3 linked regions of the Diceros bicornis minor genome follow. The protein of the gene in region 2 binds, or shares a complex with, the protein of the main gene of each other region. Links are inferred from orthologs where the notes say so. Each region holds a gene or a part of one and is shown on either strand. Other genes may lie near its edges.

What was found. The genes of interacting proteins can lie anywhere in the genome.
Region 1: the proteins of MYO6 (region 2) and CLTA are in contact, whole or in part, in an NMR structure (PDB 6E5N), measured with the Homo sapiens proteins. The link is inferred for Diceros bicornis minor from reciprocal best matches to the Homo sapiens genes MYO6 and CLTA. Residues at the interface, in NP_001355794.1 of Homo sapiens: Met1053, Thr1054, Pro1055, Met1058, Ala1059, Met1062, Ser1087, Trp1089, Lys1090, Tyr1091, Glu1113, Arg1117, Leu1118, Val1120, Tyr1121, Trp1124, Asn1128; in NP_009027.1 of Homo sapiens: Glu47, Asn48, Glu50, Ala51, Phe52, Ile54, Leu55, Asp56, Gly57, Gly58, Ala59, Pro60, Gly61.
Region 3: the proteins of MYO6 (region 2) and GIPC2 are in contact, whole or in part, in a crystal structure (PDB 5V6H), measured with the Mus musculus proteins. The link is inferred for Diceros bicornis minor from reciprocal best matches to the Homo sapiens genes MYO6 and GIPC2. Residues at the interface, in NP_001034635.2 of Mus musculus: Ser1055, Lys1056, Trp1057, Lys1058, Tyr1059, Arg1084, Arg1085, Leu1086, Val1088, Tyr1089, Trp1092, Lys1093, Asn1096; in NP_058563.1 of Mus musculus: Glu255, Leu256, Tyr257, Met258, Gly259, Ile260, Asp262, Asp264, Leu265, Thr268, Thr289, Leu290, Asp292, Phe293, Ala294, Pro296.

The regions. Positions count from the first base shown.
Region 1 is NC_080767.1:4,653,027-4,663,224, reverse strand, and holds the start of CLTA (clathrin light chain A), read right to left. Parts: upstream 4,147-10,198; 5' UTR 4,054-4,146; coding exon 3,858-4,053; intron 1-3,857. UniProt on the Homo sapiens protein: Clathrin is the major protein of the polyhedral coat of coated pits and vesicles.
Region 2 is NC_080762.1:54,977,851-54,987,168, forward strand, and holds the start of MYO6 (unconventional myosin-VI), read right to left. Parts: upstream 4,184-9,318; 5' UTR 4,024-4,183; intron 1-4,023. UniProt on the Homo sapiens protein: Myosins are actin-based motor molecules with ATPase activity. Unconventional myosins serve in intracellular movements. Myosin 6 is a reverse-direction motor protein that moves towards the minus-end of actin filaments.
Region 3 is NC_080743.1:15,403,045-15,412,809, reverse strand, and holds the start of GIPC2 (PDZ domain-containing protein GIPC2), read right to left. Parts: upstream 4,147-9,765; 5' UTR 3,913-4,146; coding exon 3,397-3,912; intron 1-3,396.

The DNA.
Region 1 (10,198 bases), on a different chromosome or scaffold from region 2:
TTTGATCTCTACTCCCTACACAAAACTAGAAGCAATTCTCATGCCATACCTCCTTCTAAATCACACGCTCCCTGTCCTTTAGGTCTGAAGACTTGTCCAGACCCAGTGGAAAATGCTTTGAGCTCTATATTAGTTACTGTACTCCTATGCTGACATGGAACTGGCCCAAGTCAAAGGATCGTCTGTTGCCACAGAAACATGCAGAAAGGACATCTGGGGCCTTGATTTACTAGGACAACGAAGCTAAGCAACCTGATGCTCCAGAAGGAAACATTCTAGGGCCTCTCAGGAACTCCAGACAGAAACAAGGGCCAGAATGTTTCCAGAGATGAAAGACTCTTTGTCCCAGACCCACCTTAGACTTCTCATGTTCCCCAACCATCTGAAGTCAAGCAGACCAGGATCTGAATGCCAGCTGAGCCATGCATATACTAGTTTGCTCCCTCAGGAACACTGCTTAACTTCCACGACATTCAGTTCTCACCTGAAACAGGATGACACTACCACTCAGCCTGCAGTTACTGCATGGATCTGAAAGTGTGGAGAGTACCTGGCATACTGTAAATGTGCAGTAGTGCTAAATATCATGCGTGAGATTACCCTGAACTTCTATCACTGCTGCCAAAAAAATTTCTCTCTCCCTCCAGAAAGCCTTCAATTCCTCTACCCCTCTTCCTTCTCCTCCAAGAAAGGACTTGTCAGAAACATAAATAATGCCTCAATGCTATCCTTTCAGAGGAGCTCCTTAACTGCCTCTCATTCTCCTCCCTCCTCAGCCCTCATGACTGAGGGCTTTTCAACAGCTCTAGACTTACGCTGCCTCTTTCCTGACCACTTGTTCTTCCTCAACACCCTTAGAGCCAATTTACCCAGCTGTTACCCCCCCAGCTCTAAACTTAGGTCTCTTCTCTGATTCTCTTAACCACGAAGGGAGTCATCCATGACTCAGGCCTAACCCCTCTGGTTTTGCCTGCCCCCATGCTCCATGGGAGTTTAGATTATGTTCCTCTCTCCTCAATCTCTGTTAGAGCCTCCTGCCTATATACCTCAGTATAATAACAAAGATACAGAGCTCCCTCCTAAAATCTGTTTCCTCAGTACACCCCAAAGCCTAGAGGCTTTGTAACACCTTTCTCTCCCTACTTCCAAGGAAAAACAGTAGCCAGGAACTGTGTGTAGTAATAATAATAATAATATTAAAGGTACTGTAAGCACTTTACAGGTGCACTCTAACATAATCCTGGCAACCCTACGTGGTACGTACGTACCCCTTTTACAGAGGAGAAAATTGAGGCAAGGCAGCAGTGATGGTCATTTAAGTTGCCTGAGACAACAAAGGTAAACTCACACTCAAGCAGTCTAGGACACCACAGAATCTTAACCACTAGAGTGCCTCTTAAAAAAAGAAAAGTGTCCAACTAGATCTCTAATCCCCAAAGGAAGTGCTGACCACAGCATTACTTTTTTTTCCGACCACTGCACTATTACCAACCTCAACTACACTGTCAGAGATCGGGCTTTAAGTCACTAAACGCTTAGTTCACTAAGCAAGTCCTTCCTAGGAACTAAGTCAGCAATCATCCCTTCCTTCCCTTTGCCGAAAGCTTGCTGCACAAGGGACCTGTGTGTCCAACTCTATTCTCTCCCTCTCACCTCCCCAAGCTGCCCATCACCAAGATGTGCAGGTTTTATACATGGCCCTTGGACCTGACATTTTTGGCCATTTCTTTTTATCTACTATGTGCCAGACACTCTGCTAGGCATTGGAGATACAACAGAGAGCAAGAGTAACATGTCTTTGAATCAGGAAAATCTTCTAACTATACATCCTGATTCTCCCAACTCTGTCCTACCCAGGACAGCCACAAGCACCTTTTAGAAATGACAATCTCGGGCCCGCCCCGTGGCTTAGCGGTTAAGTGCGCGTGCTCCGCCGCTGGCGGCCCGGGTTCGGATCCCGGGTGCACCCCAACGCACTGCTTGTCCGGCCATGCTGAGGCCGCGTCCCACATACAGCAACTAGAAGGATGCGCAGCTATGACATACAACTATCTACTGGGGCTTTGAGGGAAAAAAAGGAGGAGGATTGGCAATAGATGTTAGCTCAGAGCCAGTCTTCCTCAGCAAAAAGAGGAGGATTAGCATGGATGTTAACTCAGGGCTGATCTTCCTCACATACACAAAAATAAAAAGGACAATCTGTTATTCAACTACACCCCTGCAAAAACAAACAGAATATGGTTCAGTCTAAGGGTGGGGAGACTTGGGGCTCAGCTACTGTCCTTTTCTATTAAGTTATTTCTCTGTAGGACTCAGTTTTCTCTTCTATTAAATGAAGGGGGCAAACTAAGGATCTAGAAAGTAAATTTTGTCATTCTCAGCCAAATGTTAAAGACCACTCAACAAGAAAAAAACCCCAATCACTTAAAGCCAACTTCATCCCCCAGCCACAACTCAGTTCAATCCAATCTGCTTGCTATAAATTACACTTTCAAGCACATAACATGGTCTCATGTAAATTCTTACTGGGTGATCGATTTGCTTAGGAGGCAGCATGAGGTAACATAAAAACTCAGAGGCTGCAAACTAGTAGTCTCCCCATCCCCACTCCCAAAAAAGGTTCTGCTTGGGGCCAGCCCAGTGGCATGCTGGTTAGGTTCAGTGTGCTCCGCTTCTGTGGCCCAGGTTTGTGGGTTCGGACCCAGGGCGCAGACCTATACCACTCATCAAGCCCTGCCGTTGCGGTGACTCACATACAAACTAGAGGAAGACTGGCAACAGATGTTAGCTCACGGCCAATCTTACTCACCAAAAAAGAAAAAGAAAAAAAAAAAAGGTTCTGCTTGGTTGGCATAGTAATTTGAGACTTCTGACTCGGAACGCTTTTCTTAAGGGCACTACTCTAGAGCACCAGAGCCTGGGTCTCCAACACTTTTTATTGTCTCACACCCAGGCCCTTAATGTTTGGCCCTCCCATCTGCCCCACCAGTATCCTATTCTCCTTTAACTGCATTTAAGTGCATGAAAAGCCACATCTCATTTCTTCTAGCTAATTTCCTACTTCCCTATATTACCAACAGCGTTTCTTCCATTCATACTTTCCTCCAACCACCACAATCCTAAGCATCACCCACATGCAAGGCATTCAAAGGTCAAACTGGCATCCTACTGCGTTTTCTTTCCCCTTGAGTTTTTCTGGGAAAAGGCCACATACTACACTCTTTGTTCACCTCTTGAAAGATTGATCCAGGCTAATCTTAGGTCTGCTTAGGCAGCAGTGCCTAACAAAGCTGTTCCTAAAGGAAGCAGAGCTCCACATGTCCTAGCGGTACTACGTTTGACAAATGGCAAAACTCTTATCCCTCTTTGGCGGCAGTGTCTTTCTCCAGCGCTAGATCATCTTTTTTGAGTTTCCTATTCACTCCTCTTCCTAGACACCTTAAGTACTTAAACGCTGAACTGCAATGCCATTTTTGATTGTATGCCTCAAAAACGATACTATTCTTATTTTTTCTGCCCTCCTTTCCCAATAACTGGTTCCGTGCTGGGCTCCGAGTTGCCTGTAAGTCTGGCCAAACTGCGCCAACGCGGCTGCTTCAGAGGCCAGGCTCAAGGCACAGCAAGCGCTCAACGAAAAGTTCCTGAACTGAACGGGCTTCTCCGGGCGCTCAGCCCGGCACGCCGTTTTCCTCGCCGCCCGCGCCGGGGCTGCCGCGGGACGGAGCGGGGTCTCGTTTCCTCTCGGCCCTCCTGCTCAACCGCCCGCTTCACCCAGAAGGAGCTGCACCGAGCTCTCAGACCCACTGCGGCCGAGTCTCCAGGCCAGGCCTCCCGTCCGAACGCGCCCGCCGTCTCACCCGGACACCCTGGCGGCTCGCCGTGCGGCTGGGGCCCGGGGGCGCCGCCGTCCAGGATGGCGAAGGCCTCGTCGTTCTCGATGCCCGCAATCTCGCTCTCCTGCTGCGCCAAGAAGGCCGCGGCCGGGTCTTCTTCGCCGGCGCCGGCCACCCCGTTCCCCAGCGCGGGGGCGCCGAACGGATCTAGCTCAGCCATGGCGCGCAGTTCAACGGCACGGGCACCGACGCTGAAACGAGCCAACCGACACCACGCCCGGCAGCGGCCGCTGTGGTGGCGACTGCGACTGGAGGGCAAGCGGGAGGAGGGAGGTAGCGGAAACGGAAACCCTGTCCCTATATCCGGCCGGTCTAGGCGGTTTGGGAGAGCCGAAAAGGCCACAGCCAATCAGAAGACAGCAATGGTTCAACAGCTACCCAATCAGCAGGAGGGGCCGGGCCCCCCAGGACAACTCGTGACTCGCGCAGTGGCGGAGGTGAGGGCCGCGCGCCCCTGGGGCGAGGGGAGGCGGAAGTGGGGCTTGAGTTAAAGCGTCCTTGCCCGCCTGGTGTCGGGGGCGGGCTGAGCCGGGCCGGCTCCTCTGAGGGGCCTCTGGGGCTGAACCGGCAGGTGAGGTGAAGTTAGGGCGGCAGTGATTGGCCGATTGCAGAAGAGTCAAGCTCGTTAGCCTTTCTGAACTTCAGCTTCCTCTTTCGTCAAATGGGAACGAGAATCCTGCGCTGCCAGGATGGTTGGGAAAGCTGAACTTGTACGGCTCTGTACTGGCTTTGCAAAAGACTTTCTGTATTTGTTAACTCATTCACCCAGCCTAGATTATTTTTTCCTTTAGAGCCCCCTGACTCAAATGTAATTGAAACCACTCTGATTTTTCTCCCCCATAGTATTTTTATAAAAAGGCGAATATAGCTCTGTTACAAAGCCCTTTTGCAGCCAGTATGTTTTTCAGACCTAGACAGAAGTTTCTAGGACTGGAGAATTCATCAGGGATCCCGGGTTCATAGGGAAACTGAGACCCCTGTGTGGAAAGGGATCAATCACACAGGGAGTCAGTGGCTGCGAGGAAACCCAGGTCTCCTGGGCAGCTCCATAATGTACTAGCCCCAACCTGTTGTATATGTATGCACCTCTCCCAGCTAAGGACAGCAGGAACTTTCTTTAGAAATAAAGTTCTTTCAGTATTTCTTTTAAATCCCGGAACTGTTAATAACATGGCTAGATAATTTTGTCTGCACTATAGAAATGGTAATAGAGTGATTCCAGTTAATCATGTTCATGTTGAGGATGGGGGAGCTTCTGCAATGGCTAACAGAAGGACCTTTCTCCTTTACCAGCACCACCCTAAAAAGTAAAAAGTCAAAAATAGAAACAAACTAACCAAAAAACCAGCCAGAGGTCAAAGATGCCTCCAGAGGCAGTCAACAAGGAACAAGAAAGTGGTTTCTAAAAACATACATGTATCTTTGGTGACAAAAAAGGGTAATGGTTTCCTTAAAGCATGCGTTTACTTTTAAAGCCATTTTAAGTGTGGAATGTAGGAAAGTCTTGAAGAAAAACATTTAATAAACTTAAAATTTTAGAACCTGTAACTGTCTCAGTCTTCCCCTCCCTCTTCTTGTTTAATGCTCACCCCTAACATAAATAGGTAACAACGCATGAAGTAGTTTCACGTTCATCTCCTTGAAACATTCTACCCTGCCCCTGTGAGAAGGATAAGTGTCAAGGACTACCATGTGAGGGTCCAAGGAAGACAACTTTTGGTTGCTTACAACAGTAGTAGCTAAGGGACAGACAGCATTCTCTCCAGGGTAAGTGCATGATTCTGGGGAAGCTGGCCTGAGAGTCACTTGCTACAGGAGGCATCACATCTCATCATGCAAAATTAATAAATATTTATACACTCAGAATTGGGAAAATCAGCTGAGGTGCTTAGGGAAGACTTCACAGAGGGGGCGGCTTGGAGCTCCATTATGGAATATGGGTAAGATTTAGAAGAATCAATAATGGTGGCCTCGTATTACTGTTGGGCAAAGATTCAGAGCTGGGCGTGTTTGAGGGACAGAGAGTAAATTAGTTTGGCTGGACCTGAAAGGGCTTAAGAAGAGAATAATTGAAGGTAAATCTAGAGACATATGCTGGGGTCAAGAATGCAGTCCATGCTAAGGAGACTTATTAGTGATAGGGAACCATGGAAGGTTTCAGAAAAAGGAATGATTTTTTTTTTTTTTTTGTGAGGAAGATCAGACCTGAGCTAACATCCATGCTAATCCTCCTCTTTTTGCTGAGGAAGACCGGCTCTGAGCTAACATCTATTGCCAATCCTCCTCCTTTTTTTTCCCCCAAAACCCCAGCAGATAGTTGTATGTCATAGTTGCACATCCCTCTAGTTGCTGTATGTGGGACTTGGCCTCCGCATGGCAGGAGAAGCAGTGCGGTGGTGCGCACCCGGGATCCGAACCCGGGCCGCCAGTAGCGGGGCGTGCGCACTTAACCGCTAAGCCACGGGGCTGGCCCTGAGAAAGGAATGATTTTGACCAACGTGCTGCTTAAGAGATTAATCTAGCCCCTGTGTGCAGGATGGAGGGGAGCAGAAGCTGTGGGCAGAGAATTTGAGGAATGGCATGATGAAGGTCTAGGCAGGGGAGTGGTGTGGAGCTGGATGAGGAGCATTTATGGGAAAGTGGGTCTCAACAGAGAAGTGACTGACTTCATGACTGACAGGTAGGGACTGGGAGAGATGCGGGGAAAAAAGATGAGATCATAAATCATGAGTTGGTGAAATTGCTGAAGCCACTAGTTTATGGGCTCTGGGAAAGCTCAGGTGATTGCCAGGAGTCATAGAATATTTAGGAGATGTCCAAGAAGTAGCTAGAAGTATGTGCAAGCAGGAGAGCTGCTGGCCTGAAATGGGAGCAATGGAGAGAGGGAAGTACTGGGTGACATAGTTGAGAAGAGCCCTCGGTTCTAGGGGGAGGCAGAGACTAGACCTGTGCAGGATCCTACCTGAGCATTTTGCCAGAGCCAGACCAAGGGTCACACAATGATTTTTGAAGGGTCTTGAGTGAGGGATTAAGACAGATCCCACCGTCTAAAGCGGAAAAGGATCTGATCCAGAAGGAGGTCGGTAAGAAATGCATACAAATTACTATAAGATAGATGGTGATGTGGAGTGGGGGTACGGAGAGTGCAGTGAGCAAGCAAAGAACTGTAAAGACAGAAAGAAGGCGAGTCATGTTTGGTTGAGAAGTCCTGGAAAAGTTTCATACAGGAGATTAAGTCCTTTCTGAGTGTCTATATGTCCCACTAGACCTTTATGTGAGGGCAAGGACTATGCCTGCCTTGTTCACCTTCGTATTCTCAGGCTCTGGCATTATGCCTGGCACATAGCACGTGCTCAAAAAATATTTATTGGTGGAATGAATGGAGTAGATTTTGAGACGCATCTCAGAGGAGAAGGGTTGTGAGAGATATGGCATGGAGGGGAAGAGAGGCAGAGGGTGGTGCTGTACTCTGAGATGTGATTTGGCTAGATGATGGAAAGATTAGGAAAGTACGTGGATACAGCTGAAGAAAGTTGGAGTCAAATCATAGAGGGCCTGAGTGCCCAGGTGAAGATTATCCCTTAATTGCTGAGGCTGTGAGGAGACTTTGAAGGACTTGAAGCAGGCAATGACTTGGTCAGAACTCTTCTGGCAGCTCAGGCACTGTAAGAATAGGAAAGGATTCTGAAAGCAGGGAAGACAGTTAGGAAAGACACTGCTGCAGTGATCCAACAGGGAGATGAGGAGAGCTAAAGATGATACTCTAGGGAACAGAGCAGTGGACTCACGTGGAAAGAAAATAATGGAGGCAATGTACACAGTACTTGGTAAGTGATAGCATCTAGGAGGCAGAGAGAGAGGAAATTCACACATAATATTTATAGGTAGGAAAACTATGAACAGAAATAGCCACAACAGGGGCTTGCCTGGTGGCCCAGTGGTTAAGTTTAGCACGCTCACCTTCAGTGGCCAAGGTTCAGTTCCCAGGCGTGGACCTACACTGCTCATTGGTGGCCATGCTGTGGCAGTGACCTACATACAAAACAGAGGAAGATTGGCAGAAAACTGAGCTAAACAGATATTAGCTCAGGGCAAATCTTCCTCAGGAAAGGAAAAGAAATACGCACCACAGGCAAAGCCAGCTGAGTGGGAGGGGTCAGGAGACGAGACAAATGTAGAGTTCAGTGTGGAAATATTGAGCACAAGAGACATGTGGGATATTCAGGAGACGTTCAACAGGATACTGGAAATCCAAGTCTGAAGTTCAGGGGAGAGGAATGGTGGTGGGCAAAGTGTTTAGGGCCAACTCTTCTGCTGAAAACAACTGGAAGGGCTGGGCAAAAAGTTTAAAAGATCTCTTTGAAGGTATCAGAGGACTACCAAAGCAGTGAGGAACTGTGGGCCCCAGTTCTAGGAGAGGAGGGAGGCCAAGAAAAGTGAGCCTAACATTTGGAACCATGTTTCCTCTCAAGGAGATTGTTAGTTCTGAAAACAGAGACTGAGAAGCTGAGTAGAGCTTCAGTGAACAGGGTTGGGGAGATCAAACAGTTGAGGGCCTACCAAGAAGGAGGGGTCCTGATAAATGTACCAGGCTTTTTGTGGGGACCCTGTGGGATACACACTAGGAATAAAGGTGAAAGACTAAAGCCCAGCTTTGAGTCATAAAAATCCTTGGTTGAATTAAAGTGGTCCAGGATTTCTGGGGCCCTTAGCCTAGGCTGCCCACCAAAAGCAAAAGTAAATTCTCTGACAGAAAAAATTTCATCCAAAAATAACTAAACATATAAAGACAAAACATGCTAAGAGACATTTTCAGGGACAGACATACAACAGAAATTCCAGGGGATTCAGAAAATGGAGTTATCAGACCTAGACATTAAAATAGCTATGATTAACGAGTTCAAGGAATTAAAAGAAAATACTGAGAATTTCAGCAGTTTGAAAGTTTGAGAACTGAAATTTAGAGTATCTGATATTAAGAATTTAGTAGATAAATTTAATAGTGGGTTAGACATAGATGAAAAGAGAATAAGTGAACCAGAAGATAGAGCAGAAAAATATCCAGGCTGAAACCCAGAATCAAAAGGATGAAAACACGGAAAAGAGCATAAAAAACATATGGGATATGAGGAATAGGATTTATAAACATGTAATTTTTAGCTAGAAAGAGAGAAGAGAGAGAATGGAGCAATGTGAGAAGAGAAAATGGCTAACAGTTTCCCAAAATTGATGAAGAAACCAAGCCACAGATTCAAGAATCACCATGAACTCCAAGGAAGATAAAAATACCCTCCCTAAAAGAATTTTTAAAAATCCACATCTCTGGGCCGGCCCCATGGCTTAGTGGTTAAGAGCGCGCGCTCCGCTACTGGCAGCCTGGGTTCGGATCCCGGGAGCGCACCGATGCACCACTTCTCCGGCCATGCAGAGGCCGCGTCCCACATATAGCAACTAGAAGGATGTGCGACTATGACGTACGACTATCTACTGGAGCTTTGGGGGAAAAAAAATTTAAAAAAATCCACATCTCGTGTGCATTTTAAATTGACATCTAAATTTTTTCATAATTACTTAATTTGTTGCAATGGATGTACTTTCTAATATACTGTAAACATTGATTCTTTGAAATAAAATTGTTCCATTGCTTTTTAAAATGTATCCAATGGCATCTAGATACCATAGTGGTTTGATATTCACCATTATCCATTCAAAAAATATATGACAAAGTTTTTCATTAAAATTAAGAAATTTCAGATTCTTGCTTTTGCTCCAGGAACACATACTACCATTCAAACACCTACTCTTAAGTTCTAGCCTATTAGAATTTTTTTGTGCTTTAAAGACTTTCGTTTATCAACTTGTCATACTTCTTTATAACAAAAATATGTAATATAAATATAATGGACTTTTAAAAAATATCCCATGACCGTAAGGCTCTGAATGTTAAAATTTTGTTTTGTATTGACATCATTATAATTATTAGTAGTATATATTTAATTAAAGCAACAAATTATACCAGAAATTTCATAAATAATTATTAAATATAAAAAGTACAATTTTGTTGGAAATTCCTGTCTTAAAGAGGTAGATGGGTTTGTATTATCTATTGCTGTGTAATAAATTATCATAGAACGTAGCACTTAAAATACCAAACATTTATTATTTCACACAGTTTCTGAAGGTCAGGAATCTGGGAGGGCTTCACTGGGTGGTTGTGACCCAGGATCTCTCATGAGGCTGCAGTCAAGCTACTGGCAGGGGCTACAGCCATTGAAAGCTTGACAGGGGCAGGGTAATCCACTTTC
Region 2 (9,318 bases):
GGACAGGGAAGCACCACTCCCCATCTATAGTCACATTTCAAACACAGTAGGCCCTCAGTAAATATTGTTGAAAAAGATGCTCATCCACATATAACAGAAATTTTAAAATTCTGCTATATGCAATACTTTACCTCGTAAGGTTAAACAGGAGGTTACTTCCAAATAAAAAAACAAGTGACATAACGTTCATTAAAGATGCCTGTGGTTTCGCCAGGAACACCGTCTTCCTTTGTGCACATTACTCAGCCTGGACCTGAATCTTCACCTATGTGAGTATCACCCAAGGAATGTGCTTCCGTATTCTGGTTTCACTGGAGACATTCTTTCTGCACAGAAAAGGACTTCCTCTCTCTTTAATACTAGCAAGATTTCTAAAGATGCCAGATTCGCTTCCGGTTTTACTTCCTATGCTTCAGTACTCACAAGGAGCACTTTTGGTGAATTTCTGGTCATTTCTCAAACCATTATGTCATTCTTATTCTACTAAATAAGAAAACAAGTTTATTTTTGAAAACCATAAATAAAAAGATTCTAATACTTATATTTTAAGATTATTAGCAGTCCACTAAATTTGTCATATAAAAGCATAACTGTTTTAAATGCAAAACATCCTGGTTCCTCTGAACATTATATAATGCCTCAAAAATGAAATTTAAGCTTATTTAACTTTACTTAGTTCTTGATTATCTACATACACAAAAGCAGATGTATTACAGATCATCCATTAACAATTTATATTAAGCCCTTGGATGATGGTTTTGTATTTACAGTTGAATATGAGTATCCTTGAGATGCAAAATTCCTAATAGATCAAATCAAATACCGAAACACCTGTAAAAGCAGTCACCCAACTCAGCCTTCCTATCATTTTCTGCTCATTTACCCAACTACATTCTACTGCTGAAATGACTCCTACTTTGTTACAAAGCATGGACTTTGTGTGCTCATTTTTGTCCTTTATATCTATTACAGCTCAAGGGATATTCCTGAAATAAACACAGGCCATAAAAAAAATTGTCCTAAAAGTAGAGATGACAATTTAATCATAATCTAAAAACAAGTCCCCCACCCCAGGATTTCAGAGTTAATTATGTAGTATCTAAAAGACAACTAGTGCATTTATGGGCAACAACCTATCTCATTTGAGGAAAATTTTAAAGTTCTATCTTAACTAGAAAGATTATACTATTCATTTTAGCTACAATGAAAACCAGTGTTACAGCCTAATTCTAGTTCCTATAAACCTACTAAACAGTGCACAATATGTATAACATTCTAGAATTTACACCAGAAATGATAAAGCAACATCATATCACCATTCAAGGCTGTCAACTTAAGAATGAAAAAAGACAGAGAAATCAAAATTCATTCCAGAACCATATTCACGGCCTATCTTATCCTCACTCCTGTGTGCCTTCTTCAAACCTCAAGTTACATTCTGGAACACAATACCAGTTCTGCAGGTTTACTGAACAGTCTACTAAATGAACTGAGATCAAGGCACCCTGGTCTGGTGGAAAGGACGGGGTCTCGTGGTCAGATGACTTGGGTGTGAATCCAGACTTTGTCCCTCTGGAGCTACATGACCTTGAGCAAATATTTAATTCTCAGAGCCTAAATTTCCTCATGTGTAAAAAGACAAGACCACCAGCTTTGATAATATTTTGTTGATCAAGTCCCTCAGTTAGTGTTCTGATTATGGCAGATGCCTGATAAATGGGTGACGATCTTATAATACTAAAGGGCCAGTTCACAAATTATTACGAAGTCTCTTCCTATGGGGCTCACAATTAAACTGTATGAGATTCATTAAAGTTGTAATATTTTTTTCAATCTTTTACTCAAAATATTTTAATATGTAGAAATGAAAATTTCACAGAGGTTAGAAATCTTTTTAGGGCCGGCCCCGTGGCTTAGCAGTTAAGTGCGCGCACTCCACTACTGGCTGCCCGGGTTCGGATCCCGGGCGCGCACCTACGCACCGCTTCTCCGCCCATGCTGAGGCCGCGTCCCACATACAGCAACTAGAAGGATGTGCAGCTATGGCATACAACTATCTACTGGGGCTATGGGGAGAAAAAAGGAGGAGGATTGGCAATAGATGTTAGCTCAGAGCTGGTCTTCCTCAGCAAAAAGAGAAGGATTAGCATGGATGTTAGCTCAGGGCTGATCCTCCTCACCAAAAAAAAAAAAGTTTAAAGAAATCTTTTTAAAACTGACATTTTACATATCAAAGATGGAGCTTCAATAATCAACAGACAATGAAAATTGCTTCATTTAAAAAAAAAAATGTTTAGGGTGTTTATATTTCTTCAAACCTCACGTGGTCAAAATTTTTAAACTTTCTAAAGAAAGCTGTATTTTAGAACCCAGAGACAGGCCAGTTATCTAAACAATGGGCTACATGATACACCACAGTCTCCAGACAAAGTCACAACAGGATGAGAAAAGAGCCTTCAGCCTCTCTCAGATTTCCTGGCCACTGTTATTTTAAAACCTGATCACATAAACATAAACAGAGAAAAAAATCTATTTCAGATGAGCCCCATGCGTTATGATTTATGATCTCTGTTTTTTATACCTTGCATTAATTTACATTAAATAGTGCAATAGCTCATTACATTTTTCTTGCTCATGTTTCCGGGCACTAATGAAGAATATACGTATATTATATATAGTTCTATATATTACATATTTAGAGTTTTGAATCATGATGATCTTAAAGTTGTTTATCACTTCTGTTACTGCCTTTTAAAACTAGTTTTTGAAATCAAAAATATAACAAAAAGCTGGGAGAACAATAGCATGTCACACAGAACATACAAATGCGACGGGCAAATCTGCCTACAACTAAAATGTGCATGTAATTCCTGCCCAACTGAAAATACTCAAAATGAACTGGATATTTAAAAGTCAATGAGTTATTCTGAACAGTTGCATTGTTTCAAGATCTGGCTATAGCCCAATTTGTGCTGTTTCTAAAATTAATGATAAAAGACACCAAGGTAATTTTTTCACTAAACAATTTCCAACTGGAAAACCACAGCCCAAGACATCTACGAAGTGGAGTTAATTTGTACAGAAATGCCATTTTGCTGCCAGCCTTTGTACCATGACCACTGCCAGCCCAAGTTCAAGAGTCACATTTTATGGTGTTAACAGCATGAGCTAAATCTTAAGAATATTCTTTTTTAAAACTCTCAAACCCTGACTACATTTAGATACACTGCATCTACACCACCAGAGCACAAGTGCAAATGAACCTTTTATTTAGCACGTACATCAGTCTATTAAGTTTGGGGCAGTCTTCCCAGTTCTTCACTAATATCTGTAGATTAGGATTTAAGCATTCCTCCACCGCAAACATCATGTCAGATAAAATGTAATGTGTTTTCTGAAATTGTATGAAAGTATTTCTGACACCCATGTTTTATAATAACCCTATCAAATTATTTCCTACTTAAAGTCCTAGAATTGGAGCTTTTAATCGTTTTAAAGAGTCTTTGGAAATTAACAAACATAAAACCTGTTGTTCAGTAGCAGATATATAAATTAGCATACTCAAAGTACTGGACCATCTAAAGACGACAAATGGAGCTTTAGGTAGTCCCAACCTGGTCCCCTACATGATTAAACTACTAGGTTAATGTGTGATCCGCACCTCCCAGAACAAACGGCACTACTGCTGCGCTGGATTTGAAGCTTGTTTACGAAAGAGAAAATAAAGCCACCACGGAGTGGCCCGGACAGAGCGGACACCAGAGCGCCCTGCTTCCACCCGGGAGCCAGCGCAGACACAAAGGTATCCCGGAGATGACAAGTCCCTGGACGCGGACGCCCATTGTCCTGCGGAAACGAGCAGCAGCCCGGCGCCGCCGCCGCCGCCGCCGCCGCCCTCACCTGCTCCCCACCCGCGTCCTCGGAGGAGCCCCGCGCCCCGGCCCGGGCGGCCGAGGAGCCCCCGACGCAGGGCGGGCGGCGGGGAACGAGGCCGACGCCCCCCGCGGGGCTCCGGACACTCACCGGGCGGACCACGAAGGCAGGTGTGCGGCGGAGGGCTACCTGTCGCCGGTGAGACTGGAGGGCGGGGCAGGAGGTGACGAGCGTGCGCGCAGAGGGCGACGAGGCGGACGCGCACAGGGACGGGCGGCGGCACGGACCAGGCAGAGCTCGCTTCCTGCTCGGACAGTCGCCGGGTCCGTCTCCGCCCGCCGGCCGGCGCCCCGCGGAGTCCCCGGGCCCGCGCACGTCACGGCTACGGAGCGCCTGAGGGGGCGGGGCGCGGGGGCGGGGCGATCGGGCGGAGGCGGGAGAGGGGCGGGGCGATGGAGGGTGGGAGGGCGTGGCGAGAGAGGGAGGGCGCGGCGAGAGAGGGAGGGCGCGGCGAGAGAGGGGAGGGCGGGACGGGGCGACTGGCCTGAGGAGGAGAGGGGCGGGGATACCGGGCGGAGAAGGGAGAGGGGCGCGGCGGGCGGGGGACGCTCCGCGTCTGGGCCCGCGGTCCCTGCCCCGGCCCCCCCGGCCAGCGCGCGGCGCGGAGCTCCCTCCTCGTTCCCGCCCCTGCGAAGCGGCGTGTTGGGCGGCTGTTGTGGTTTGCACCCCTGGGAGCCGGTCCTCTCCGGCCTGGGTGCGGTGACTGCAGTCCGGCTCCAGCGAGACTCGGCTCACGGAGGGAGGGTGGTCCGGGGAGGGGCGCGGACCGCGCGTGTTCCGAGGGCGGGCAGGGCCCCGGCAGGGGCTGGGCGGGGAAGAACCACGGCCCCGGGCGCGGCGGCTGCCGGGCTGCCCTCCGAAGGGGGTGACCTCCTGCGCGACAAACCTGCCAGTCTGCTTTGGGAGCAGGGGTCTGAGATGGGAGTTTTGCATTTCTTTGGCCTCCGTCCTGCCGCCGCCTTTACTTGTCAGAGCCCCGATCCTCTCTGTTGTTTATATTTTAGTGTTTTTATAAGTGACCTACCTGTGAGTCATATTTCAAAATTAAATGTGAAGAAGCTATGCAAAATTGAATTATGTGATAAAAACATACATTGCCTTTACGAAGAAAAGAAGCTTCTTTTAAGAAAATGAAATGGTGATTGACTATGATGCTCAACGTCTCCGCCGAAAAAAGTTCAAGTACCTATACCTGAGAATTACACTTTTTCCCGCAACATTTCTGAGTGCAACTAGGAAACTTCAGGAAATCTAGAAGATTCTGATGGGAGACAAGTTTCAGATATTCAGATGTTCCACAGTTCTTTTGGTGGAAAAGCTAAGTTATGATGAGATATTTTAGCATACAACTAAAACAATAAAATATTAAGAATAAAACAGGGAAGTAAGAAAGAGGAAGAGAAACCAAGAAAGGAACTAATTTACAGCAATCTCAGAAATTTAATTCCAGATTGCCCAGAGGTAAACCTTAAGTATATAAAACTAGATTTCAAAAGGAATTGCAAAAAAAAAAAAAAAGAGCGAGAAGGAGAGGATGATTTCAGTTCACGACTTTGACTTTTTTTTGGATTTAAGATTGAAAGGCTTTGGCAGAACGATAGAAGCCAGTACAGTTTATTGTGAGTGAGGACTTGTGGTTTTTCTCTCTCTCCTCTGCCCCCACTTCCAGGTCATTCCTGAGTCCCTTAGATTCTAGCTCCATATCTCTCCAGTGTATCGAATTCCTCTTCAGAGCCACTGCCGTCATCTTGCTTCAGGCCACCGTCATTTCAGGTCTTGCGTACTGCTTTAGCCACCGAACCAGTTTCCCAGGCGGCATCTTCTCCCTTCTAATCCAGTGTCTGCAATGCTACCAGGTTTATATTGTATAAAATAAAAGTCTGATTATGTACTCCTCTTTGAAGACTCCTGTAGTGGCCCTGACTACCCTTAGTATAAAATCCACACTCCTTAAAATGTCTTCTATGATCCTTGGACTGTGTCTGTTTGTCTAGCACAGTGGAGATCTCTTGCGTTTTTTCATTTAATTGAATTTGAATGCCTCCTCATTGTTCCCCAGTTCGTCACTGACTTAAACCCCATAAAGCTCTGTTAAACCAGGCTTCTTCACACAATGTTTCCTGCCTGTCTTTGGAATCACTTAACCATTTAGGACCACTGTCCTAGCCCGGCTTACCTGTCCAGTCTCATTTCTATCCATTGCCTTTCTCCATTTCTTCACTTTATGTTCAAGCAGTTCTGAAGTGCTTGGTGTCCAGAACAGACAGCTATGCTATTTATTACACTGGAGTGTTGCCAGCCTAAATCTAATTAATCCTTCAGAATAAAGCGTATTTGTCCCCTCCAAGTTTTTGCTAACCCCCTTATTCCAAAACCCAGGTGCAATTTGGTGCTCTTTCCCGTCTCTCTCTCAGCACCTATTGCACATCTCTCTTCCAACACTCATTTTACTATCGCTACTTTCATTTACTTACCTGTTTCCCCCAACCGGCCTGTAAACTCCTTGAGGGCAGAAAAGGGCCCTTGTTTGCCTTCGTGTCCCTAGTGTGGAGCCTGGTGGCTTTTACATGGTAGCTACTCATTAAACAGTGCCTATCATTATTATTGTTTTGTTTTGTGAGGAAGATCAGCCCTGAGCTAACATCCATTGCCAATCCTCCTCTTTTTGCTGAGGAAGACTGGCCCTGGGCTAACATCCATGCCCATCTTCCTCCACTTTATATGGGACGCCGCCAGAGCATGGCCCAACAAGCGGTGTGTCGGTGCGCGCCCGGGATCCGAACCCGTGAACCCTGGACTGCTGCAGCCGAGCGTGCGCACTTAACCACTTGCACCACCGGCCGGCCCCCTCATTATTATTGTTGTTGAATAACTGGGACAGATGGATGAACAAACAGCAAGGCAGTTGACAATCCTAGGAAATTGTGTATACTGTCATTAAGCATGGTGGAAGTAACTGTGTCATATTTGCTGCCAAAACTCATCTTAACAATTTATTCCATATTTATGTTTGTTAAGTGTTTCAACTTTGCTCTCACCATTAAATATTTGTAAGACTCTTCCCCAAGTCTCCTTGTACTACTTCAGAGATTCCTAAACTGAGATCCATGGATCCGCTATCATAGATGGAGGCTCAAAGTACTGCCTCTGAAACAATATGCAAGATTTTGTGATTTTGTTCCTTCATTTTTATGGGAATCAACGTCTTAGGTGTTTAAAGAGGCTCTGCACCGTCCCTGGCTGATATCCACTTTGACAGCTTCAACTGCATCAGTGTTGCAACTCCTAAGGTAAGGCAGACTGAACACCCCACAGAAACTCAGTCTCTTTCCACTCCCACTGCCTCAAATGATTCCTTTGCCAATAGACCCTGTTATAATTATGATACTACCAGTCACTGGTCTCAAAAAGTTGTGGATTTTAAGTTACACAGGACTCCTTCCCTTCCTCACCCCTGGTTTTGGAGTCAACTGAATTCAGTTCATTCTATGTCATAAATTCCTTGTAAGTTGATGTCTTTATCTCCATCCTCCCTTAGTGCAAGCCATCTTCTTTCATCTGCACTCTTGACATTCCCTCTGCTCATTCCAGTCTGTTCTCTCACCACTCCTAGAGAGTTACCCCTCCCCCAAATCCGATTCTGTCACCCCCTGTACCGACTCCTGGTGACGTTCAGATCCATTAACACCCATTTACATGGTGTACAGAGCCCTTAACAATCCTGAACCTGCCCTGTCATAGGAGTTCTAATGTGTCAAGCCCTTTCATGATGCTCCTTCCAATCTTCAAAACTCAGTCCATCATTTTCTCTGCCCTGACCCTGGCAGAATTAGTTTTTCTTTTCCCTGTTTTCCAGGGCACCCACTGTATATCTGTATTGTAGCACTTATTAAGTGGTTTTATGATAATATTTCTATATTTGTTTCCCCCCGTAACAACTCTCCAAAATATTGAGCTTTTTAATTAGAAAATCCACCCTATTATTTTTTTATCCCTAGAGACAAGCTCATTGCTTGCCTCACTGAATTAATAATAATGACAATGCTGAAATCTATTGAATGCTTACTATGTGCCAACACTGTGCTGAGCAGTTTACATAGACCATCCCATTAAATCTTCACAGCCCTAGGAGGTAATATGGTGAGCATTAGCTTTTTGCCTGCCTAGCTTCTGAACTCCCATCCTATTTGTGGAGAATCCTTAATTTTGAATCTTGGTGATTGCAAGGACTACCTCATAATTAGGAAACTGAGTTTGGCCAAAGTCCTTCTCCCCGTTATCTGGCAACTAGGGCATAGGAATGGCATGGGACCTAGGTTAAGTGAATTGGATGCTCTCACCTGAAACTTGGAATCTGGACAAAGTGAGGCAAAGATGCAGAGATGGAGAGAGAGTTCACAGTGGGGTAGGTATTGTGGCAACCAGAGTCTGGTCATGACAGTGCCAACAAAGACATCCTAAATGGATGGCCCTGCACATTTTACACACCTAGTTCTGCACCATCCCTAGTGAGTCTGTGAGCTACATGATATTCTTCCACTATATACATTCTTTCTCTGGATAAGTTAGGCAGGGTTTGTTTCTGTTGCCTTCAGCGAAGCACCCCAATTGATACAGAGAAGTTCTATCATTATCCCCACCTTACAAAAGAGGGATGAGTAGGTACTCAAGTATTTATTTAATGAATAAATAAATGAGATATTTACAACATTATAATTTCTAAAAGAAGTGTTGATCATTGCCTCAGTTATTAGCAGGTTTGTGCTAGTGGTAATCGTCTGGAATTTATAGGGAAATAAATTACAGGAAATAAGCAGGTTCCTAAAGAGATAGTCTTATGATTTTTTCCTTATGGTGTATCTTAGCCCATCCTCATACACCATCAACATCTGCATCTCCTGTACTTTATCATGAAAAAGTATTTAATGTAATCATTGTAAAATCCTAAATTGTTTCTTTAAAAAGATTGAATGATGTTTACCTACCTGAACTTACTCTAGAAAGAAAGTAGGCTAATATATTTTAGAAATATTTTTAATATAAAGGACTAAAATTAAAGCTGACATGTCACTTATCAATAGATACTTTAAAAAAAATTCCTTAACCAGATTACCACACATCTTATCATTCTCGCTTCTGGAAATTTTTAGAACTACAGTTTCTGTTAAACCCCCAGCTAGGTTTTCCTGAATTGTTCTGGCAGCATTATGATTAAAACTGAAACAATAGCACAAGTGTAACCAAAGATCATCACCTCAGACACTTTAATTGAACTGTCAAATGTCTTAAAAATAATCTTTCATCTAATTTGCTATATCCTGTGATCTTCAGCTCAAAGGTAGTAATTTAAAGAAGAGCAGAGAAGAGTTGATTATTTTTTTCAGA
Region 3 (9,765 bases), on a different chromosome or scaffold from region 2:
ATCCTCCTCTTTTTGCTGAGGAAGACTGGCCCTGGGCTAACATCTGTGCCCATCTTCCTCTACTTTACATGGGATGCCGCCACAGCATGGCTTGACAAGCGGTGCGTCCGTGCGCACCCGGGATCCGATAAGCTCAACTGTAAAATGAGAGGAATCCTTGCCCCAGTGCTTGGTGAGGATGGAATGACCACACTGTAGACCTACAGGCCTAGCACAGCCATGGGCACATTATGGACTCCCAGTAAATTTGCCTGCATCTACTGTACTTGACATCAGGTGAGGCTAAGCCCCTCCCTTTTCTCCTCAGTAAAGAGAGTACAGCTCTTCATATAGTGCTATTTATAGCCTTATAGTCCCCTGTCTAGAGAAAAGGAAGGACTTTTGAGTTAACCATATTCAACCTATTTTTTTGTGTGTGTGAGGAAGCTCAGCCCTGAGCTAACATCCATGCCAATCCTCCTCTTTTTGCTGAGGAAGACTGGCCCTGGGCTAACATCTGTGCCCATCTTCCTCCACTTTATGTGGGACGCCGCCACAGCATGGCCTGACAAGGGTTGCGTTGGTGTGCGCCCGGGATCCGAACCCAGGCCGCCGCAGCGGAGCGCACACACTTAACTGCTACACCACAGGGCCGGCCCCCATATTCAACCTATTAAGAGGGGAAATTTTTTGTTTTGTCTCCAATGATATTTTAAAAGTTTTACCATTATTCCTCTTGCTGGGAGAATGGGATGGGAAATGGGATCTCACTGGTGCACATTTTTTTTTTTTTTTTTTTTTTAAAGATTTTATTTATTCATTTTTTCCCCCCAAAGCCGCAGTAGATAGTTGTATGTCATAGGTTCACATCCTTCTAGTTGCTGTACGTGGGACTCGGCCTCGGGTTGGACGGAGAAGTGGTGCCTTGGGGCGTGCCCGGGATCCGAACCCAGGCCGCCAGCATCAGAGCGCGCGCACTTAACCGCTAAGCCACGGAGCCGGCCTCACTGGTGCACATTTTAATAAATTACTTCTGTTTCAAAATTAACTACTGAGATACTTACAACATACTATACTATGATGACCAATACTTTATACTTAACTCTTTTTAATCCAAATGCAAAACTTGCATTAATGTTGGTTATATGTATAAACATACTAATATATATATTTAGGGTTATAAAAATTTCTGAACTTTGATATAGCACATCAAAACACCTTATGTTTGGGGCCGGCCCCGTGGCGTAGCGGTTAAGTGCACGCGCTCTGCTGCTGGCGGCCTGGGTTTCAGATTCTGGGAGCGCACCGACACACCGCTTGTCAGGCCATGCTGTGGCGGCGTCCCACATAAAGTAGAGGGAGATGGGCACAGATGTTAGCCCAGGGCCCATCTTCCTCAGCAAAAAGAGGAGGATTGGCATGGATGTTAGCTCAGGGCTGATCTTCCTCACACAAAAAAAAAACACCTTATGTTTATATTATCTTGGAATTTTATCTTGCAAGTCAGTGCACTAGAAACTGAAAACGTTGAACATGGCTGCCAAGCTATTGCTGAGACACCCTGGAAAAACTTGGGAAGCAACACAGCAATATAACTTCAAGGAATTTGGAGTCAGAAAAAAACCTGGGTTTAAATCTAGGCTCTGCCACCTACTATGTGTAATTTTGAAAAATTTCTGAACCTCAAAGCCTCAGTTTCCTCTCTGTGAAGCAGGGATACTAATAATAATACTTCTCAGGGATTAAGGGGACTAAATAAAGTCATGCATCTTGAGCTCAGAATGTTATATATTATGATGAGGAAGACTGTTAATGCAAAGTAACTAAATCTGCAGTCCCTGGTTACAGGAGAGACATGTAAAATTGTCAGCTAAGTATAATAACAAGCTTACTCAGCTTAGAAACCAGAAGATCCAAGTTTAAATAACAGCCCAGCTTTTTTCTTGCTAGCTATGTGACCTTGGTCAAGGCCCAATGATTTTGTACTTCAGCCCCCTCATTTAACCATTAGGTACTAATAACATTAGTTACAATTTGTTAAGCACTGACCATACACCATGCACTCCGACGGGTTGACATATGAACTCTACTCTTTACAATAACCCTTCAAGGTAGATGTTCTTGTCTCTATTTCATAGATGGCTGAAACTGAGGGAAGTTAAACTTGCTCAAGGCCACACAGCTTGTAAGTGGTAAAACCCAGATCCACACCCAGGTTTATTGGTCTCCAAATCCTGTCCTTAGCTACCTGCCACCTACCTCTCCTAGAGAAAATCGAAAGACATGATTCCTGAGAAAGTGCTTATTGCACTGAAACATCTTACATAAAGGTGAAGTATTACGGTTACTACTCTATATCAACATAAATAATTCACAAAATGGGTTTGTGATTTGCCCCTCAGAGCCTGGGAACGCTGAAAGAACAAAAGGTTACACTTCAAGCTCTCTCTCATCTCCTCTTGGAATTTTGCCTTGACCTCAATTCCCCCCCAACAGACCTGATAAACAACATTCAAGAGCAGATACCCATGCTGCTCGCGCCGTGTCACTCAAAGGCAGCCCTCCGCGCTCCCTGGAGTCCAGGGCGGCAAGATCTGGTGATTTTCCTAGAAGTAGGGGCAAAACATTTTCTTGGGCTAACTTCTCGCACCTACACTTGCAGTTCGCTTGGGTAAGCATAAATAAAGTGGTCACATAAAGATCCGCATAGACTAGTGCTTTCGAAATCATGCCTCTATGGAACTCCAGTTCCAGGCACACATGCAGTCAATCTAATTAAAGCAAATTTCAGTCCCTTTTCAACGATATGGTGTAAAATTTAGAGCTGATTTCCCCTCTGAAAATTTTAACTAGTCCCACGTAGTTAAGTATAACTCTCTAAGTTATCCACCCTTGCAATATAGTAAGCTTCTTGGAAATACCAAAGTGTTGATGCCGGACATGACATATGAGGCGCAAAGTGGGCCTCGGTTTGGTATCACCTGGAAGGCACTTCCTTCCGGCCCCCTCCCCTTTGAATCTGGGAGATGCTCAGCGTGGCCCTCTCCTCCCTGCAGAGGAAGCCAGAGAGTGAAATCCAGATGAAGTGGAGGGTGTTAATTTGCCCAGACAGATCCGGACTCCGGGAAGGCGCTCACGCCGGAGCGGCTGAATCCAGGACTACTAAAGCGTACTTACTCGCATGAGGAAGAAAGGTCATCCCGGGTTTCCCAGAAGCCGGTCTCCGAGCGTGGGGACCGCGACTTTCTCCGGTCCCGGGACCTACCCTTCCCTTCCCTGTGAGGCCCTCTCGCTTCCCCTGGCGCTCCCGGCGGGCTTCACCCCGCACCCGACGGCGGGCTCAGCGAAGCGCGGCTCACCAGCCGGGGCAATGTCAGCGTGGGGGAGGGAGCGGGAGGCTGAGCCCCCGGCCCTTACCTCGGACGGCGAGATCTCAAATATGCCTGCGATCTTGGCGTAGAGCTCCTGGATGCTGGAGAAATCCTCCACTCGGCCCGTGGCGCTGCCGTGCGCCAGCTGCGTGTGGAAAACCAACCTGCGCGCGGGACCCGGGGGCTCCGGCGGGCCGCCGCCGCCGCCCGCGCCCTCCTGCTCCCCCTCCACCAGCCGGGCGGTCTCCTTGGACTTGGCTTTCTTCTTTCGCCGCAGCCCCAGGGGCATCTTGCCTGGCCGAGGGCGGGGGCCCACCTGTGCTGCCGTCGGCCGCCTCCTCGGCCCGGCGCGCGGACTTTGCGCCCCGGCCCCCGGGCTCCGCGCAGGTAAAGGGCGCGGCTGGGCCAATGGCAGAGGCGCTTCCGCCTTCCGCGCCGGGTCGGGGCCCCCTCCTCCACCCGAGGAGCGGCACCTGGACGTGGAGCAGCCGCCTGCCCTCTCCCCGGGTGGCTCTGGAGAGAAGAAAAGTTGGGCACGGTCCCTCATCTCATCTCCCGGCATCTCCCCGCTCCTTTTAAAAACGGCTCGATTTCCAAGCCCAGCCTTGGGATGCTGAAGCTACGGAAGAACACGTCCTAGAACACGCTGGCCCTTCTGGTGCTTTGCAAGAACGTGCAGTAGGCTCTCACACGCTATTGGGCCACACGCCTTGGTACGTCTAGGCCACTGGGGATAGGGATTTAAGTTGAAGTTAACCTGCATCTGCCTTCTCTGCACCTACATCCTGCCTCACACCAATCTCAAGGAAAAGCCTTGAGATTGGTGCCACATTAAATTAATAGTCAAACACCCTCAGCACCTCTCAGTAATCCTTTTCGCTTTTTCCTGGGCACCTTTCTCTCCCACTCAGCGTTCTCCTCAAGTCATTTGCCCCACCTCCGCCTTTCTTGGTCTCTGCGGAGAATTCTACCTCTTACCCTAGAGAGAAAATCGAGGCCATTTAGTGTGACGTGTGAGCTCCCTCAATTTCCCACCCCTTGTCTGTAACTCCACCCACCTCCCTTCTCCAAACTCGGAGGAAGTCTTTTCATTTGATTGGTCTGATCTCTTCGCTACTCCTCAAGGATCTCTATTTTTTAAGCTACCTGTTGACCCTTGTCCTTCCCCTCCCCACCTGGTGCCACTCACTGATCTCTTACATTGTTTTCCTCCATCCCTGCAGTCCCCTGTAGTCGCCTGTAGCTACATTTTCACAACAAAGCAAAACAGTCTTGAATTATTAGCTGCATTTCCTCACTTCCACCTTTGCTCTTAGACTCGCTGTGATCAGACTTTGTCCCCACACTCCACTGAAATTGCTCCCACACTCCACTGAAATTGCTCTCCTTATGCTCAGCACTTCATAATCACCAGATATGATTAAGTCTTTTCAGTCTTTATCTTACTCGACCTTTAAGAGAATCTGACAGCACTGACCATTTCATTCTTTTTGTGTGTGTATGTGAGGAAGATCAGCCCTGAGCTAACATCTATTGTCATTCCTCCTCCTTTTTTTTTCCCTTTTTCTCCCCAAAGCCCCAGTAGATAGTTGTATGTCATAGTTGCACATCTTTCTTAGTTGCTGTACGTGGGACGCCCCCTCAGCATGGCCGGACAAGCGGTGTGTCTGTGCATGCCTGGGATCCAGGCCAGTGCCGCCAGTAGCGGAGCACGTGCACTTAACCGCTAAGCCGCTGGGCCGGCCTCATGACCATTTCATTCTTAAATCAGCCTCTTGTTTGATTTCCTTACCTCTCTGCCTCTTTGCTAACTGCTACTCTCCAGGAACTGTGTTCTCCAACTGTGTTCTCCAAGGCTTGACCTTCTTCTCTCCTGACTCTGCATGCTCTCCCTGCAGGACCACATGTATTCTCTTGGGTTCAATAGTTGGTATTGGCCTCCAAATTTATATCTGCAGCTCAGTCTACCAGAAAGTAAACGTAGTGCAGGAAATGCAAAGTAAGCTTGTACAAAACTGAGCTCATCATTTCTCCTGAAAGAATCTTTTTTTTACTCCTGATGTCAGTGAATAGGATCATGTGCTCAGTGGCCCAGACCAGACATCTTTGAGTCATCATACCAAGCTTTTTCCTTTTCCCTCACCTTTCACATCAATTTCAGTCCTGAAAATCCATGTTTCTCAAATTAAGATTAGCAGATATACTGGGGCAGGGGAAGGGAGCCTGTTAATTTTCTAGGATAACTTTAAAATTTTTGTGTTTTATGTTTCTCTGAATTAAAATTTAATATAAACATATTCTGGTTCTTATGAATGACTCCCTAAAAATGGTATACTGCTACAGGATCTCGGGACTCGAATTTGCCTTTGTGTTTATGATTGCTACAGCACCAGATACCATTACTTTAATTATCTTGGGTTAATGAGCAAAGAGTAGAGAAAACCTAATAAGTAAATGATGCATTTCCATCAAGTGAAAACCATATGGCTTTACAATGCAGTGTTTGAATAAAAAGCTCCCTGAAGTTTTATTTAAGAAAAGTAGGAAAAGTGAGTCATCATAGGGTTCATGGCAGGTACATTATCAATATCTAAATAGTATGAGGGAACACAAGAGGGTATGAAATTAAGAAAAAATTCAGAGAAGAATGCCTTTGAGCTGTGTCAAATAAAATATGAAATAAACAGGGCAAAAGTATTGGCATGGGGTGGGAAGGTTGGATTGTATAACCTTTCAAGCTCCTTTAATTTTTAAATCTTTTTTTTTTTTTTGCCTATAAAGTTTCCCTCAAGACCTACATCAAGTTCACCTTTGCTGTAAAATCTCCCATAAGGAACCAGCTGTATCAGCCATAGTTACAGCAGGAAACAGATGATACAATCAGATTAAGAATATTTGGCGATGGTTTAGTAAAGGGACTGGGCAGGTGGTGGTCAGGGTATACTCATAACATATAGTGTAACCCACACATCTATGGATGGCTAATTTTCGACAGATGAGCCAAAAACATACAATGGAGAAAGGAAAGTCTTTTCAAGAAACGGTGTTGGGAAAACTGGGCAGCCACATGCAAAAGAATGAAAGTAGACCATTATCTTACACCATACACAAAAATTAACTCAAAATGGATTAAAGACTTGAATGTAAGACCTGAAACAATAAAACCCCTAGAAGAAAACATAGGCAGTACAGTATGCTCTTTGACATTGGTCTTAGTGGTGTCTTTTTGAATACCATGTCTCACCAGGCAAGGGAAACAAAAGAAAAAATAAACAAATTGGACTACATCAAACTAAAAAGCTTCTGCACAGCAAAAGAAACCATCAACAAAACAAAAAGACATCCTAACAATTGGGAGAAGATATTTGCAAACCATATATCTGATAAAGGGTTAATATCCAACATATATAAAGAACTCATACATAACTCAACAACAAAAAAACAAACAATCCAATTAAAAAATGAACAAAGGATCTGAACAGTTTTCCAAAGATATACAGATGGCCAACAAGCACATGAATAGATGTTCAACATCACTAATTATTAGGGAAATGCCAATCAAAACTACAATGAGATATCACCTCACACGCATCAGAATGGCTATAATTAACAAGACAAGAAATAACAAATGTTGGAGAGGATGTGGAGAAAAGAGAACCCTCATACCCTGCTGGTGGGAATGTAAACTGACGCAGTCATTACGGAAAACAGTATGGAGATCAAAAAGTTAAGAATAGGAACTGGCCCGGTGGTGTAGCGGTTGAATTTGCACGCTCCATATCGGGGGCCCAGGGTTTTCCAGTTGGGATCCTGGGCACGGACCTACTCACTGGTCATCAAGCCATGCTGAGGCGGTGTCCCACATAGAAGAGCTGCAAGTCTACAACTATGATACACAGCTGTGTACTGGGGCTTTGGGGAGAAAAAAGAGAAAGAGGAGGATTGGCAACAGATGTTAGTGCAGGGCCACTCTTCCTCAAAAAAAAAAAAAGAGCAAAGCCATACATTGCTCTTTCTAAAAAAAGAAAAAAATTAAGAATAGAACTACCATATGATCCAGCTATTCCATTTCTGGGTATTTATCCAAAGAACATGAAAACACGAAGTGGAAAAGATATTTGCATCTCTATGTGCATATCAGCATTATTCACAATAGCCAAGACTTGGAAAAAATGTTAAGTGCCCATCAATGGATGAATGGATAAAGAAGATGTGGTATATATACACAATGGAATATATACACTACTATATATACATATACACTACTCAACCGTAAAAAAAAAGATGAAAGCTTGGTATTTGTGACAACATGGATGGACCTTGAGAATATTATGCTAAGGGCAATAAGTCAGACGGAGAAAGTCAAATACCATATGGTTTCACTCACAAGAGGAATATAAAAACAACAACAACAACAACAAACAAACATATAGATATAGAGATTAGATTGGTGGTTACCAGAGGGGATGGGGGAGGGGGGAGGGCAAAAGGAGTAAAAGGGCATATGTGTATGGTGACTGATGGTAATTAGTCTTTGGGTGGTGAACATGATGTAGTCTACACAGATATCAAAATATAATGATGTACACGTGAAATTTATATAATGTTATAAACCAATGTTACAGCAATAAAAAAATTTTTTAAAATAACATATAGTATAGTACCCCATAGCTGTTTCTATCCCAAAGTCTAAAGAGATGAGGAATTAGAAAATTTTGAAGAGAGAATCATCTTAAGAGGAGCTGTCACATTTGCTTGAAGAAAACATCCAGCCAGAGGCATTCTAGAGACAAGGCAGCTGGGGAAATGGAAATGAAGAGCCTGACCCAAGACTACCCTTAGACCTGGGCAAAAGGAGCACCTGCTCCGGCCCTCCTTCAGTTGCACAAAACCCTACAAGGTATGGAATCTACAGGGTCAAGGGAGCATGGCCACTCAGAACCCATGCCCTCTCTTCTGCACTATGTTCTGGATACCCAGGATCCTGGATTTCCTTGCCCAGATGGCCCCAAGTCTGCTTCCAGAAACTGCATAGGCTTTCCAGGGTCCAGGCAGCCAGCACTGCTATGTGCACATCCCCAATGCCTGGGGGGGTCGCCAAGGAGCAGCTCTTTGCCACAGTAGGAGGGGTGGGGGTAGAATAGTAGAATAGAGCAGGGTAGAAAAAGAATGAGGTAGGCTGCAGGCAGAGACCTGTTTCTCCCCATGTCCCTACATTCCAGTGTGGACCTCTGATGAATTGGGGAACTCTAAATTTTAACTTGGCTTTTCACATCATTATTAAGATACAACAGGAGGATAGAATATATATCATTTGTCAGTTTGTTTTAAGCAATTAGTTTTCAATAATTGGGCTTCCGTGTGTACTCTTGCCCCAGGTCCCACAAATGTGCCTATTCTGACTTCATTCTCCTCCCTTCCTCAGATCATCTCCCCAGACTCAACACTGAACTAAATCAGATGCCAGAGGAAAGAGTCTCTGTTGATATGGCCCAGGCTGCAGATGCCTCCAGGAAACACTGAAAAAGGTGAAGATTGGATCTAGAAAGGTAAATGGATGCTAGCTAGCACACCAGCCCACCTAATTCCTCATTTCCCTGAATTCCTAATGCACATCTATTGTACTAGAAACAGTTCTTTACAACAGAGCTTTGTATTTGCATACATGCTGACTTTTCTCACATACAGTATATTGTCTACCTGACCACACAGTTCCTTGATGGTAGAAACCATGCTCCACACTCCACTTTGGTATCTTCTCCAGATTCTTACACAGTGTTATGTATGTAATAGATATCAGTAAATATGATTAGATAAAATTAATTGACCTTTGTTACTACCTAAGATAAATGAATTAACTACAATTAATCCAAGTATTAGTCTTCACTTTACATCTAGGCTTACAGTTCAACCCAGGTTATTTATCTACAGTATTTCCACTAAGTAACATTTGGTATTTCTAACAGCCTAAAAGTATCAACTATAAAGTTAAATATGAGTGAGTCATAAAAAAATTCTAGGATTAAATTAATATAACCTTATATGTCTGCCAAAGCAATAATAATAACTTGTTTATCAGAAAACACATAGTCATCAAATGAATCATAAGATACTAACTTGTTTTTCCCAGCAAATGTGGCCTCTAATTACAACATGTAACATTAGGAGTTATGAAAAAACACACAATGCCCCCCAACACACCCTTCCCCTCCCCAGCCTCAGTTATATATAACATGTATCCAGTAAGCAAGAACTTGGGAGAAAATAAACACAGGATTTGTTAAACCATATGTAGTTTTCCCTGGAACTAAAGATAGCATGTTTTATAGTTGCATAGCAACAATGAACAACTGAAGATAACAAGTGGGCAAGGAGATAACCTTTATTTAGCTAAAATTCAAATAAATTTTTCTAG